2 linked regions of the Oreochromis niloticus genome follow. The protein of the gene in region 1 purifies or fractionates together with the protein of each later gene. This does not show direct contact. Links are inferred from orthologs where the notes say so. Each region holds a gene or a part of one and is shown on either strand. Other genes may lie near its edges.

Evidence for each region. Proteins that work in one complex are often made in the same cells at the same time.
Region 2: the proteins of derl1 (region 1) and rnf5 purify together in Homo sapiens (affinity purification with western blotting; 4 studies listed by BioGRID and IntAct, with this or other methods). This does not show direct contact. The link is inferred for Oreochromis niloticus from reciprocal best matches to the Homo sapiens genes DERL1 and RNF5.

The regions. Positions count from the first base shown.
Region 1 is NC_031976.2:12,325,614-12,333,127, forward strand, and holds the start of derl1 (derlin-1), read left to right. Parts: upstream 1-4,501; 5' UTR 4,502-4,689; coding exon 4,690-4,842; intron 4,843-6,260; coding exon 6,261-6,372; intron 6,373-6,480; coding exon 6,481-6,545; intron 6,546-7,199; coding exon 7,200-7,226; intron 7,227-7,514. Other genes in the region: tbc1d31 (TBC1 domain family member 31), read right to left, coding at 252-367, 592-735, 2,867-2,937. UniProt on the Homo sapiens protein: Functional component of endoplasmic reticulum-associated degradation (ERAD) for misfolded lumenal proteins. Forms homotetramers which encircle a large channel traversing the endoplasmic reticulum (ER) membrane.
Region 2 is NC_031985.2:15,433,701-15,441,192, reverse strand, and holds the start of rnf5 (E3 ubiquitin-protein ligase RNF5), read right to left. Parts: upstream 3,381-7,492; 5' UTR 3,206-3,380; coding exon 2,997-3,205; intron 1-2,996. Other genes in the region: rRNA-processing protein UTP23 homolog, read left to right, coding at 4,402-4,589, 4,706-4,880, 5,308-5,697. UniProt on the Homo sapiens protein: Membrane-bound E3 ubiquitin-protein ligase that mediates ubiquitination of target proteins. May function together with E2 ubiquitin-conjugating enzymes UBE2D1/UBCH5A and UBE2D2/UBC4.

The DNA.
Region 1 (7,514 bases):
TGACCAGCTGCTATTGGGAGGAAGGAAAAACCTGCAGAGTGCTGGCTGGCTGTGGTTACAATAAAGAAAATAATTTAAAAAAATAATGCTAAGAATAAAATTACAATTCAATTCAATTTTATTTATATAGCGCCAAATCACAACAACAGTCGCCTCAAGGCGTTTTTTTATTGTAAGGTAGACCCTACAATAATTCCGTACAATGAACTACAAATGAAAAACTAAGCAGCACTTTATGTGTGAGGACGTACCTTTGTCGAAGCATTTAATAGTGTAGTCAGCCAAAGCCACGAGGAACTCTGTAGTCCTGCGGAGGCTGAATGCCAAAGAAGTGCAGGCCTGTCCTGTTTTCTGCACCAGCCGAAATCTATCCCAAGAAGAAGGAGAAGAAAAGAAAAAAGAAAATCAAATAAATTTCAAAAGCATCGAAGGTTTTAAGACTCCATTCTGAATATATTTAATATTCTAATTCACAGGAAGAACATTTATGAATCAAACAATCCTGGTTGAAAAGTAAAGTCCTAAATCCTAAACAATACAGAATTCTGTACATTTATACTAAATAACCAAGTGTCACTCATAGCCACACACCTGTTTCTACTGATGTCAAAAACATAAATGTTGCCATGGTGATCCCCAGCCAGGAAGGAATCACCGGTGGTGTCGAAGGCCACGTGGAGGAAACGCACCGTCTTGGCCTGCTGAGCAGTGCGGACCACAGTCACTACTAACACACTGAAAAAGGCAAACAACACACCTCATCAGAGACGAAAGATGAAGAGTGTCTGAGTGAATCATGGCTGCTCCCTAGTGGTCACCTAGGAAAAGACCTCTCTCTCTCCACATGTGCAGCAACCACCTGAGGTCTTACTTACACAGGTGTGGAATATTGATGGATGAAAAATTATTGAAAGTGTCTTAATGGGGAGCTACATTAACATTACCTTAGGAATAGCACAATTTCTCACTGGCACAGATTCTTTATAAAAGAACTGAAATCAAAATCAAATTTCATCACTGGGCTCCTTGATGGTGGTGTGACAGAATGCTTGAAAACGAGTGAGTAATAGATCATTCTCGCATTTTTTAATATTTACTAAAAACAATAACCAATGTCCTAAAAATGAATGATTAGCAACAAGGATATGACCTAAATGACAAGAACAAAATTTGCTTGATACTAAGTATTATACAAATTTTGCATAAATTTCGTTCAGAGCAAAATATAATCAAAGAGCACGAGACATTCAAAGCATGTTTTCTGTAAGAGAAGGAATTCGTAATTTAACTACATAATTTAACGACCCCAAGATGACATCTGATGACCTCCCATGGACCCTTAATAATGAGTTATGACACGTTAGTATACATCAAAGATGTGGTGTGACGACCATGTGATGTTTCCATTTTTTTTTCAAGGGTAGCTGCAGAGGCAGAGACCACCCTCTTTAACTTCTGACGCACACTCACTCGTTCTGTTCTATAACCAAATATGACAGAAAGCGACAAAAGACCTCCAAGGTTTTACTCCTAGTAGGGTTTCAAGGGCTAAAGAGTTAAGGGTTTTTGCAACTTTAAAACAGTCACTGTGCGTACTACAAGAAAATATTTCGAACTGAAGCAATGTGCAACATAAAGCAGTTCAGAAAAAGGTATAAAGATATGGTTTTCGTGAGGTATAAGAAAGAGAAAGATGTTTGAATGTCAATTAATGTCTCTGGTTAATTAGTTGGTATTCCAGGTTTATTCAGATTTTGCAATCAACACACCAAAGTTGGAGGTATTTGTCTTTCTTGAGAGGATGTAAAATTATGGAGCTGTAGAAACTACATATGGTAATATTTCTGTCCCTGGCTTCCTCTCACATCCCAAAGACCTGCAGTTAGTGGGATTAGGTTAACTGGTGATTCTAAATTTGCATTGGTGTGAGTGTAAGGATGATTGGCCTGCATGATGCTGTCCAGGGTGTACCTGGACACTCTATTGCAACTGGGATAGGCTCCAGCCCCCACCCCAACAACCCAGAATCAGATAAGCTGAAAAAGAATGGGTGGTTAAATGGATTTTGTATTTTACACAGTGTATGTAAATGCAAGTGAAAGTGAAATTATAAATATGTATATTGTTGTTATTGAGGTTTATATCAATAAAGAGGCAGGATAAACAATAACGGATTTATGGACAAAGGGTGGGGTTAAATAAGTGCGCACTTCTTCCTACTCTTTTGGATATGTAAACTACGTCAGCCAAAGTGAAGCAGTGTATTCTGCATGACTTTCTTTATACTGCTTCCATGTTCAAAAGAAACTGAACTAAACAAGCAAACAAATAAATGCCATAGACAATTTCATCCATGTCTCCTCCATGGATGTTTCATTGGGGTGAAATTTGGAAGAGGTCACAGAGCACTAGTCGCAATATTTTTATATTCGTTAAGCCAGTCAGAGACCTGTAGAGAAGATTTTCATTTATTTATTCAAAATTTCCTTTAATTTGATTCACATTCAAACATAAATCATTTGTAAAGCTGCAATTTGCTAGAACTACAGTTAAAGTTTCATAGTTTTCCAGGATTACTGCGGCCTTAATAAAGTCGTAAAACACAACTAAATCTTTGATTGCAATTAGTAAATAAAATAACTCATCACAACAGTAGTAACGAATCAGTATTCGTTATGTAAATACCAACAGAAACAGTAGAAATACTCACAGTAATAGTGCCAAAATACAGCAACCACGGCAATAAAAACTGGCAACTTAGAGCGGTATGTGTAATAAAGATAACCCGCATGTAAATGAGTCCGTGCAGCATCAGCTGCTGACAGTCTGAGAAACTAAATAAGACTTTTGGGAAAATTAAACCTACCTTTTCCCCGGTGTTGGCTTTCGATACCAGATTTTACCCTCCTCTTTGTTCCCAATGTCCGTCACCTCCATTTTCAAAAAGTCCACACAGTTCAGGAGGTAAATTTACAAAACACCGCTTGAGTAAACTTAATGTCACTATGATATTGCATGGCTTCTCCGCTAACAGATTAGCCGGCTAATCTGTTAACAGGCGGGGTAAACAGCGGCAAATTTAAAAGAGTAACATTGACTAAGTGCGGTAATGAGCAGAGAAGCCGTTTATGCTCTCGATAAAAGCTTAGCAATGTAATTCAGATTTAAGTAGTGCCCTAAAGGTTTAGCTGACCCCCTACGAACAGGTTTTCTTCACCTGTTATTGTTGTTGTTTATTTTATTGGTTGGTTTTGAGAACAGTTTTTTGTCGCCCAAAATTGACGAAATACGTCAGAAGGCGTGGCCAAGGAGCGTAAACGGCGAGGCTTTGTTACCCCTGTAAATTTTTTTTTCCTTTTTAACAATACCCAGAAAAAAAGTGAATATTGAGTAAATTTTTATTTTAAAATAACATTTAAAATTAAATACATGACGTTTATTTATGTATTAGTGTATATTTGTTTATTTTATTTATTTATTCATACATTCATCCACATCCACACAGTAAAGCTCCCAGTTTGCCAGTTATTCATTTTATTATGATAGTGTTTTTGTTGTTTTTATTATTATCAAAGTTTTGTTATCTCATATGTCAGACATCCAAAAGCCATTCTAATACTTAAGTATGTAAGTAAAAAATCGAAATCCTTCACCCTCTTCTTTAAAGGCAGAGTGAAAGATAAAAGGTAAACTCCAGCAACTGAACCCTGGGATAAATAATTACGATTAACTGATCGCCACCACTTTTTAAAAAGCCTTATTTCTTCCCCAGTCCTCTTCTTGTGGTCTGTGTTTAGATCTCCACAGGGGGCCGCGAGACCTGCGTCGTTCGGCACGCCTCTTTGTGTTGCTGGCTGCCTCTGGATGGTCAAGTGAGCGTGTTTGCAAATTTCACAGGAAGTGCAATAAAATGCAAGGCAATCAAGATATTGTTAGATACTGAAAACACATCCGGTTTAAATTTTTAAATTAAGAGCTTATTAGAAACAAATTTGGCCAATATATGTGCAAGCACACGGGTTGGCATCTATTTACACTTTATCGTCAACTATGCACATCCTTAATATTATAAATGACCGCACGAACTGATCATACTGCCTAAGGACCTTTGTAACACTTTTACACAGTGCGAGCAGGAAAGGTTCCTCTAAAATTCTTCATTTTATGTGTGTGTTATCTGTGCATGTGTGAGTTCAGGGTGGTTATGGCATTAGGGAAGAAACTGTTTTTGACTCTGTGGGTTTTTGTGCTGATGCACCTGTAGCGCTTCCCTGAGGAAAGCAGGCTGAACATGTTGTAACCAGGGTGGGCCATTATTTGCCTCGGATAAACGTAGTTTGTTGATTGATAATAATAATTTCAATTATATTTTTATAATTTTATTTGTTTCTAGTTCAGTAACAGTCACAAAGTAAGTAAAAAAGATTTTTGTTTCATCCAGTCTGTGGTAACAGTTGTCAATTAGGTTTTACTTTGAGAAGCTAAACCGGATGTTTCCTCTCTGATGTCAGTGGCTTCGTCGTATTTTGAAGCTAGCTCACTGTGATTAGCCACGTCATGTAAACTTAACAGTGGAGCAGTTGTGATATAAAGACAGGAAGCAGTCGCTGGTTTGGGAAGGACTTTAGGGAATTGTTAAAGAGGAAATTTTATTTCAGGTCTCAAAGTTGGCAGTAATCCTATGGAAAGATGTCAGATATCGGGGACTGGTTCAGAAGCATCCCTTTCATCACCCGGTACTGGTTCGCTGCCTCCATTGCTGTTCCCCTTATAGGCAAACTGGGATTGGTTGATTTCAGGAATCTCTTGCTATTTCCGGAGATGGTCTTCAGCAGATTTCATGTGAGTGTTTCTTGGTTTTTGGTAACTTGTCTGTCTGTTGGATTAGATAGCGAACAAATGCTGAGTTACTGTCTTTTGGAAACTAGGAGTTAGTTAGCAGGTGGCTAGCACTGCTAACTCAGCAGGCCTGAGTGTGGGGCAGCCAATGAGAGGACGAGACGCAGGAGGGTGGGACTTCCGGATGCTGTCAAAATGCTTGGATATGTAGTAACGCTGAAATGTAAACTAAATATAAGACGAGTGAAAACAAATACATATTTTCTATAATTTAATTACCAGAGAAGTAGAGACACGTTTTATTTTAAAGCATTTGTTGCGATAATATACGTTAGTTTTAGTGCGCTCTCGTCCACAAGGTGGAGACAAGTATTGCAGGGGATGTTATGAAATTAGGCCCTCAGGCACTGTGAAGGCCTCTAAATCAGGTTAACAGTGGGTTCATGCAAGGTTAGGGCATAGGTGTAAATCAGTAATCAAACACAGCTCAGGGCAAAGGGAATCAACCAGTCTGATCACTTTAAGTGCTGAAAAGTAGCTACCAAGTAATTCACTTCATATCAGTTCTAGTACTTAACTTAGAAGGAAATGTCATCATTCCACCTTCAGTAAATGGAAATATATCTCACAGCTATAGTTAAGGGATAATCTGAAGAATATTAAATATACATAATTACAGCATTAATACAGTACTTTGCTATGTACTTTGTTTGCATTGGTATTACTGTGTTTTCTTAAGTGAATGAATAAGCTTCTTTTAACTGAACAATCCATACACCTTCTGGAATTATTGGACTTTCTTGCTGTGGATTATTAATCTTAGGACATGTTGATTAAAACCACAGTTAATTTCATTATGTAGGCAGCCAATTGTGTGGCTAATAAAAGAAAGCAAAATAAACTGAAATAAAAATGCAGTAGTGCAGAGTCAGTATACTATATATAACCCCCTGATCTTTATGAGCCTATAAATTGTTAAGTGATAGTTAAGATGGTCACGCAAGCTGTGTGAAAGCACTGAATATGAGACTCTGTTGATTGAAAAGTTATTAACCTTTTGTCAAGTCCCAAACAACAAAATAAGATTATTTTTTTTTGTTGGACAGCACAAAAATTGGATAATGGTATGATCAGACACTTCTTTAAATTGTGACTGCATCTTGTCTTTTGCCTCCAGATTAATGGGAATTTAACATTTAAATGTGGTATTGATTTGACTTCTTTTACCAATTTTCAAATCTTTCTGTGAGGAAACACACACTCTGCAGAGGAATACCACACAGGAAGTAATAATTTGCAACCCACATGAGACTTAATGTGTTACAGACTTGGTGGTGAACATCTGGATGTGCAAACAGGCACAGCGACGTTGATGTCTTACTGCTTTTCTGTTGGGTTAATAACTCTTCTGCTTATTTCAGATCTGGAGACCGGTAACAGCCACTCTTTATTTCCCTATAACCCCTAATACCGGCTTCCTCTACCTGGTCAACCTATATTTCCTCTACCATTACTCCACTCGACTAGAGACAGGTAAGATCACCGGCCTTAGCGGTTTCTAAACATACAGCGCTCTTTCTAGCATCTTGTATTCATTTGTGTCATCATCATCTTCATCCTCATTTTTTTTTCTTATACCAGGGTCATTTGATGGCAGGCCTGCAGACTATATCTTCATGCTTCTCTTCAACTGGATCTGCATAGTTGTATCCTTTCAGATTGGCAATTCCTGTTTTAAAATCTCACATTTTAATCTACCTAACAGGAAATTATTCTTTCGTCATCCAGTTACCTCGCTGTTAGCCTATTTCCCACTCTACCATTCATTCTGACCCCTCCTGCTTTTGATCTCTCCTGCATTTCTCTTTCATCTTCTCTCTGCCTCTCTCTCTCGTTCGCTGCAGCAGTGTGCCATGTCAGGGTGGCTCTGTGCCAGCGGCCCGGTGTCAGTCTACCCCTGCAGAGCAGAGAAACCTAATCTAGGTCACATGCAGCACCAGCAGTACACTCAGGCCCACATCTCAGCTCTCTGTCTTCTTGTGAGAGTTCAGCTTAGATTGGCTGCTTGCTGCTCAGACATTTCTCTTTTATATGGGAAAAGCAGCAAAACTCTACCTCATCCAAACAACATGTTCAGTCTTTGTCGGTTCAGCTAAATGGTGAGAACAGCTTAAAAAAAGTGTGGGAGGCGTAACCTTCCAAGGTCAGATGCCTTGCTCAACTGGAAACGGCAGAGGTGCCTGCCAGCTTCCAAAAACCGGTGTAGGGGATTTGAACAGGCAACCTCCCGGTCCCCAGCTGTTCTAATTGTAGAGCTCCAGCTGTGATTGTATTGTTGTCGTCCTTGACTCAACCTGCAGATAACCGGGCTGCTGATAAACATGCAGGTGAGAATCTTCCTCGTCTGTCTCTCTCTCTCTGCATGTAGACTGCTGTAGCATCTATATAAAGCATTTGTTTACAACCGTCCTTTGAAATCTTAGGAGTGTTTCATAACACAAGACACCCACTTTAAAAAGGAAAGGTTTACATTTTGGAGAAAAAAAATAAACACTGCAGAGACGCTGCCACCTGCTCCTCTAAAGCTTACTAATTTCTGCGGCATTTCACAAAGCTTATCCAGACAATTTCTTTCTGGTCCTGGCCAAGAAATTGCATTAGGAAAAAGTAAAGTT
Region 2 (7,492 bases), on another chromosome or scaffold:
ACGCTTGAGTGTGCGCTCACTCTGGGACTGTAAAGATGTCACATGCTCATTAACCTTGAAGTGTTAAAAGGAAATTAACATCTCTCACACATAAATCTGGAAGCTGCACAGTGTACACAGTATAAACTAGCAGGAGTCTACTGATGGAGAATCGGCCACACACAGTCGGAATGAATGCTCAGCTGATCAGGTGAAAGGATGGGAGTTTCGTGTGGCTAAAAAAGATTAGACGTAGGTTTGCAGCGCTGATGCAACTTTAATCTAAAGGTGTTCTTCTATCCTTGCTGACGGTTTCATCATCGCCGTTTCATCAGGACTTCAGAGAGCAGAGGGAGACACGAGTAACACGGCAACTAAATTACATCAGCACGTAACGAGGGAGCCTAAACACAACGCTGTAAGGCAACTGTGCCTCTAACTGTAGGGTCGTTTCCACAGATTAACAGTAAGCCTAAAACAATATTTCCTAATAACAATGCATTTCAGACCTCAAACACTGTGATAAAAAGAAGTTTTTAAGATCGGGACTCAAACCCTCTAAGCTGTGTGAATCATTCAACATTTTCCTTTCACAAGTTGCGTAATGAAATAAAAACTTCCTTCAACTGAAGCAACAGGAAAAAAAGTTCAACCAAACTAAATTAAGCCTGACAAAGCCGGGCGAAGAGTGAGTTTGGTTGTTTTGGAAGGACCAAAATAGACAAACCCACACCAAAATTGTGTAATGATTAGTGCGCTTCTTGGATTTCACATCATGCAATTTTTACCAAAACACTTTCACCTCACAGCAAGAAAGTTCTGGGTTTGAATCCACTGGCTGGGCGGAGCCTTCCTGTGTTGAGTCTGTACGTTCTTCCTGTGTTTGGGTAGGTCCGACTTCCTCCCAGAGTCCAAAAAACATTGCATGTGGCCATGGAGGAGTCGTAGATGAAGTGCTTGAAGTCTATACAATATGTATGTATGCAAGTATGTACGCTTAGCTGCGGTTTGTAGTCTAAATGAGCTCTTAAAGGCCTTTTTAAAACTACAAGCCACATTTACCCTCCTCCCCACACATGCAGTGTTTCATTCTATGCCTTTAGGTTTATCAGGGTTTCCTGTTCAGTCACCTGCAGACTGGAGAAGTCAGTGGTAGCTGGTTTGCTCTAGTTCTTGCCTGCTTAGATTTTGCATCCCTATCAGAATTTTTGTTTCAAATAAAAGACAAAATAAAAAGTTAAACCACGGGTTGCTCCTATCATGTTATTTCCTGGGGGTGAGATGATATGATAGATCTTGGGCAGTTAAAGAACACGTCGATTTTTATTTCCATGTTTGCTGCTGAGCTCACCTGTGAAACAGAGAGAACATCCACAATCGCAAACATGTCACTGTGTAAGCCCACACAGGTCTCTGTTGCCAAAACACACTCATCCAGCCTTCGTCACTTAAAACTACAAACAGGTGCCCACTACGCTTTGACATCAGCTACAGTTCTGCTGGAAAAGATTAGGATGACCTTCGGGTCGGCCCTAATCCCACATTAACCTCAGCCAAGAGTCACAACTCATGAATGAAGCCACCACATCACTGAGCGTTTGTAAATATTCAACACAGAGTGGCCTGAAGGTTGAGCCTTGTGCAAGGCCAGAGCCAACAGTGATGGGACAAACTAGAATTACGGCTGTTACCCAACACCTACTTTCAGTCTTTGATAAAACTTGTCAGCTATGCTGTTTTCTAATCTCAGGATTCTGGCTCACCGAGGCCACAGCTACAAGGCGTTTTCACTGCTCATTATGTGCATTCAGCATATTGTGAACCTGATCTGAAAGCTGCCAATGATCAGCAGGGAGGTGGAACACAGAAGTTAATGTGTCACCGATCAAACCAGGCGCCAATTGCAGCTGTGACCTCTGACTAGGGCTGGGTGGTCTGACCAAAAACTTGCATCACAGACTTTTTAAAGACTCGTGTGGTTTCACAGTACGCACTTATCTTGGTCTGTTAAATCAGACATGGAACACTGAGAACTGATAATAATCCAGCTATGAAACTGCTCATCAGCTGAGAGTGTGCGCTTCAATCCCAGATTGATTTATTTGAAATCCACTGTGGTGGTGTACAACCCCCCCGAAAACATCTTACTGTCTAACAAATTACAGACTATCACAGAATGAGGTTTACAATGACTCATTAGTCATTGATATTTAGATAGATATGGATTTTTCCAATTTTTCCTCTAGTAAGCTCTGATGCATACCCATTCACATTCACTGTCTTCTGGATTCCTGAAATATGACAGAAACTGCTCAGTTCAGAAAAGACAGACAATGGTTAACCCTAGTAGGCGTCCAAGGGGAAAGGGATAACTGCCTGTTATACATTACCTCACATGATTCCCAGTCCCGCATCCCTTTTTAGCATTAAAAACCCCGCACAATCTCTGACCCTAGAATAAAAAGTCCATAGATGCATCCCTGATGAAAACCACAGTTTGAAAAACTACTGTGGAAAGGAAAATTGATTACAAAAGGACACAAAGACTGTGCATAAGATCAAAACAGCAAACTTCAGCTTCTTTTTTAAACCTCATTTGCTTCAGTCAATGCCAAACCTGTAGCCTATATAGCCTGTTGTGCATTTCTTCTATTATTTCCAAATTTCAGATATTCTCTCAACTCCGAGTGTCCCACACAAATACCTTCTTTGTCCCACATTTAGTTTATTAGGATCTGCTGATTCCAGAAACTTTATTAACTTTAAAAACATGTGATCACTCTTTAAGGCATTAAAAAGGCGGCTTAGATCACGGGTTAAAGTTCAGCTACATGCTGAAGACAAACACCCTTCACAGAGTTATCTAATAGTCTCTTATCCCGTTCACAACCGACTGATTACCGGAGCGTCGAGGGGCGTGATTCCGCCGTTAGAAACAACCCAAAAGGAGGCCTAACAGGCGGCCAAACAAACCACACTAAGTCCGTGTTTGCGAAATAAATGAAACCAGCACGTACCAGAACAGGTGTCCGCACAGACTGATGACGGCGTCCCTGGCAGTGTCCAAGCAAATGTTGCACTCGAAGGTGGCTCGATCCCGCTCCCGTTCGCTCTCCCCGCTGCCGCCACCCGAACCGTCGCGGTCGTTGCTGCTCTCCCCGGCCGGGAACCCTCCTCTGCTGGCCGGCCCGCCGTCACTCGAGAACCGGTGATCCGCGGCCGCCATAGTGTTTATTTTCCAAACGAATAAAGAAACGAAGCGAGCCAACCCGCGGCGGCCAGACCCGAAATAACGTTAGCTGTCAGCGGTAACAGTTGCTGCTGTCACCGACCGAGCCGAGGCTGCTGTCTCTGACCGAGAGACGACTTCCGTTTCCGGGAAAAACAGGACGCATGGGCGGTCTTAATTTAAACACCACCGCCACCGCCACCACCACCACAATAATAATAATAATAATGATAATAATGATAATAATAATAATAATAATAATAATAATAATAATAATAATAGTAAGAAGAAGATGAATTACTGATACGTACACCTTCGTCTCTAGCCAATCCTCATTTCGTTTGTGGTAGGAAAATAGAAGCGATTTATTGAAACATGACAAAAACAAACAAACAAACAAAAACATCGCCTAATAGCTCTTTGGGAAACACAACATTCGGGCATGTTTCATAGACTCAGCTAAGGAAATTGTAATAAACTTTGTTGAGCTGTGAATATCAACGCGCCTAAATGTATCTTTTTCTGTTATATGTAGACAAAACACTGGTTCATCCTTTTTATCCTTGAATGATTCATAGCTCAGTGTTAAGTGGCTTAACTCACAGAAAACGTTCCTCTGAAAATAGTCAGGTAAGGACTGAAATAAAAAAAAAAACCCCAAAAACAGCTGCTTACACCACTTTAAAAATCACAAGAAAGTCTGGCTCCATAGAAGTAAAATATAAAGATATGAATAGTGACTCGAGACTGTTGCACAGCATAACAGGTTAAATTTAAACTCTAACGCCACAACAACAAAAACATTATTTATTCGCTTTTACTGTTTAATGAATTTCATGAAAATAGGAAGAATATTTGCTGCTCATAGAAAAAATAATTAATAGCGACAGGCTGGAGGTCTTTGATAATTTAACCCAAATGTTTTACACTCACAACATACACGAAAGAAAGAAAGAAAGAAAGAAAGAAAGAAAGAAAGAAAGAAAGAAAGAACGAACGAGGGAACTTTAGTCCTACATGTTGTTTCCACTCGGACAGTTGAGGAGTACGGACGGTAAGCGTGTTGTGTACAGGGTCCATGCTGTGTGTGATAATTCTAACGTTGTAACGTTAACAGTATTTTCACGGTTAACCCGCGTCACTGACGGCTGTTTGTGTTTTAATACGCGCTCTTTCGTCACTGACCCGCCGCCATGAAGATTAAGCGGCAGAAACAAGCCAAGAAGACGATCAGTTTCTACAAATACAACTTCGGCTTCAGGGAACCCTTCCAAATCCTCATCGATGGCACTTTCTGTCAAGCGGCCTTAAAGAACAAGATTCAGATCAAAGAGCAGATGCCCAAATACCTGATGGGAGAGGTGCAGTTGTGCACCACCAGGTGAGTGCATTCACCTCTGAGCACCCCCCTCCTCCCCACCCACTACCCCCGATCACTTTTTGGCACAATACGTCATCATACACGTTTTAATAATGTGTCCACGTGTTCACGTTCAGCTGTGCGCTGAAGGAGCTCGAGACGCTTGGAAAACAGCTGTACGGGGCCAAGATCATCCTGCAGAGGTTTCAGGTCAGGAAGTGTCCGCATTTCAAGGAGCCGGTCTCAGCATCAGAGTGTCTGCTGTCCATGTTGGAAGAGACCAACCCGCACCACTACTTCGTTGCCACACAGGTAAATAATGAGATGAAAGTGGGAAAATATTTTTGGGTGCTCTGATAAACCCCTGATTCCCCAAAAGCTCTAACGATGTGGAAAATGTAAATGAAAACCATAATGCAGCGATTTGAATTTTCTACCCACAGTAGAACATAGAAAATGTAGAAAATGCTTAAATTGATTCCTTTTACTCTTTTGTGAAAATATACTGGCTTATTTCGAATTTGATGGCAGCAATAAGTCTAAAAAATTGTTACAGGGACATGTTGTGTGTGTGTATCATGCCCTGTTCTTTTGACAACAGCCTGTAAACATCTGTGAACCGAGGAGATCAGCTGCTGAAAACTTGTTTCCATTCTTGTCTGATTTCGGATTATAACTGCTCAGTGGAGCAGATGACAGATAAGTTACAGATATCTCTTTTGTCTCATTATGTCTCCAGGACTACACAGTCACCACGGGGCTGAAGAAAATTCCAGGAGTTCCTCTGCTCTACATCATCCTCAACACAATTGTGCTGGACAAGCCCAGCCAGGCGTCCCTCGACCACGTCCAGGCCGTCCAGCTGGGAGAGCTGGTCAGCCCGGCCCAGCAACAGAGCATCCGGACCCTGAAGGAGGAGCAGGGAATTGGCCAGAAGGACAGAGAACGGCGTGGGAAGAAGAGGAAGAGGAAACAGTCCAACCCTAACCCGCTGAGCTGCCTGAAGAAAAAGAAGAAAGGAGTCCCGACACCTCCGCTGAAGAAGACGGAGCAGGAGGGGAAGAGGAAGAGAAGCCGACACAAGAAACGAAAAGTGGAGGCAGGAGATGGCACAGCTGCTAATACATAAAACAGCAGGAAGACAGAGACTTCAGCCTTCTCCATTCACCTGATTTATAGGTTTACGTTTTGATATGACTGCAGAGGAAAAAAACTGTTTTTTACATAAATGATATTTTAAAAATGCCATTTTGTAGTGGTATTTGTTTTATTTTGAAAAACCTTACAGGCAAGGGAATGAAACTGTTCACAGACAACATCTGTATGATTTCTTTTATACAAAATCAAAAAAGCAGGTTTCATTACAGGCACATAGTTTAAAATATAAGATGCACTCAGACATTAAACAGTATACCCTTTTTCTTTTTTTTTTTAGATGGAAGAGGATATCAAAAACAATGCATTCAGCTGTCTCTGCAGTGTGGACACATTAACTTGTTTCCACTGTTGGTATTTCGTGCAGATTAAATTTAAGCTGCAGTATTTTCTCGTACCACGATGACTTACAGCAACAAAAGTCCATCCAGTTTCCATCTGATCCTGTCATCCAGCCATTCTAGAGATTAATAATGAAATCTGCTTTTAAATAAAAAAACAATTCATTCTCTTTAGCTGCTATACAGCAATACAACAATAAATTAATACTATCAAAAGTGACAAAGAGCACAACAACTTAATTGTCTTAATAAACAAGACAGTGCATCACTGTATCCATATACAATAAGGACACTGAGTAAAGTGAATCTGACCTCAAGTTATTTTAAGGATTTGGAAAAAAAAGTAACATGGCAATAAAAAGAAATTTCACACAAATTGCACTCGATTCAAATATTTCAGGATAGCATGCAAGTATAGCAGACCACTCATGTTTTCATCTATATGCTGAGGTCCCGAAGCTAGGTTTTATTAAACTGTGTCCCAAATCCACAGCACATAGTAACAAGATCCAAGACAACGTGATGAAAAGTTCCAATATTTTATATTTATACTAACAGGCAATGATGGAGAAAACTTAATTCCTTATAAGTTTAGAGAGGAAGCAGCAGGAGTTGTTAAAGGTGTTCCCAGACCTGTTTTATCGGAATTTTAAATCTGAATCACAGGAAAGTGTGCATAATCACGGTGCGCTGAAAAAACAGGTGATTTTTACCCCTCAGCCTGAAGGTTGATGGGGTATTGTTATCCCCTAGTCAGGCAGGCGGGCCTCAGACAGCATGAACATGAGAAAAAGATCATATAGGATTTATGTTTAAATAGACCTTTGACAATAAGCAATAAAGTCTAATCTCTGTTTTGTCATTTTTACTGTCTTTCCCAATGCCGGTAAGAACACACTGTGTTAAGAGAGCAGCCATAAATTAACGGTGGATAAATTATGCTCACTTTTAATGTTTCCGTCATGACCCGGCAGCTAGGTGTTCTAGACCTTGTTCTTCCATAGGATTTGTGTCAGGAGGCTGGTAGCCATCACTATTTTTAAGTTTACACAATCCTCAAATCCTGCTTAGAAATTAGTATGTTGTGTGGATTTGGGTCGTGTCTATTTTTTTAATTTTTTTTTTACTGACAGCAACAGCAACAACAACTTAGAGTCTGTAATACTTAAAGTGCTACTCTACAGCTGTATAATGATTAGCTGCTGGTTGAGTCTGTAGAGAACTACTATAATAACTGTTTAAATGTACTCTTGGAAACAGTGCATGCTCCTTCTGTCTAATATGATGGTGAGAGACTTCAGAAGGAAACCTTCACCTGCAGTAGTGAGAAAAATAGAAGTAACATGTTTGACTGACTGTAAACAAATCATTACACTGGACTCCTTCACTTTGGTGAGACGCCAGCAGCCACAAACAATGAGATGCAGG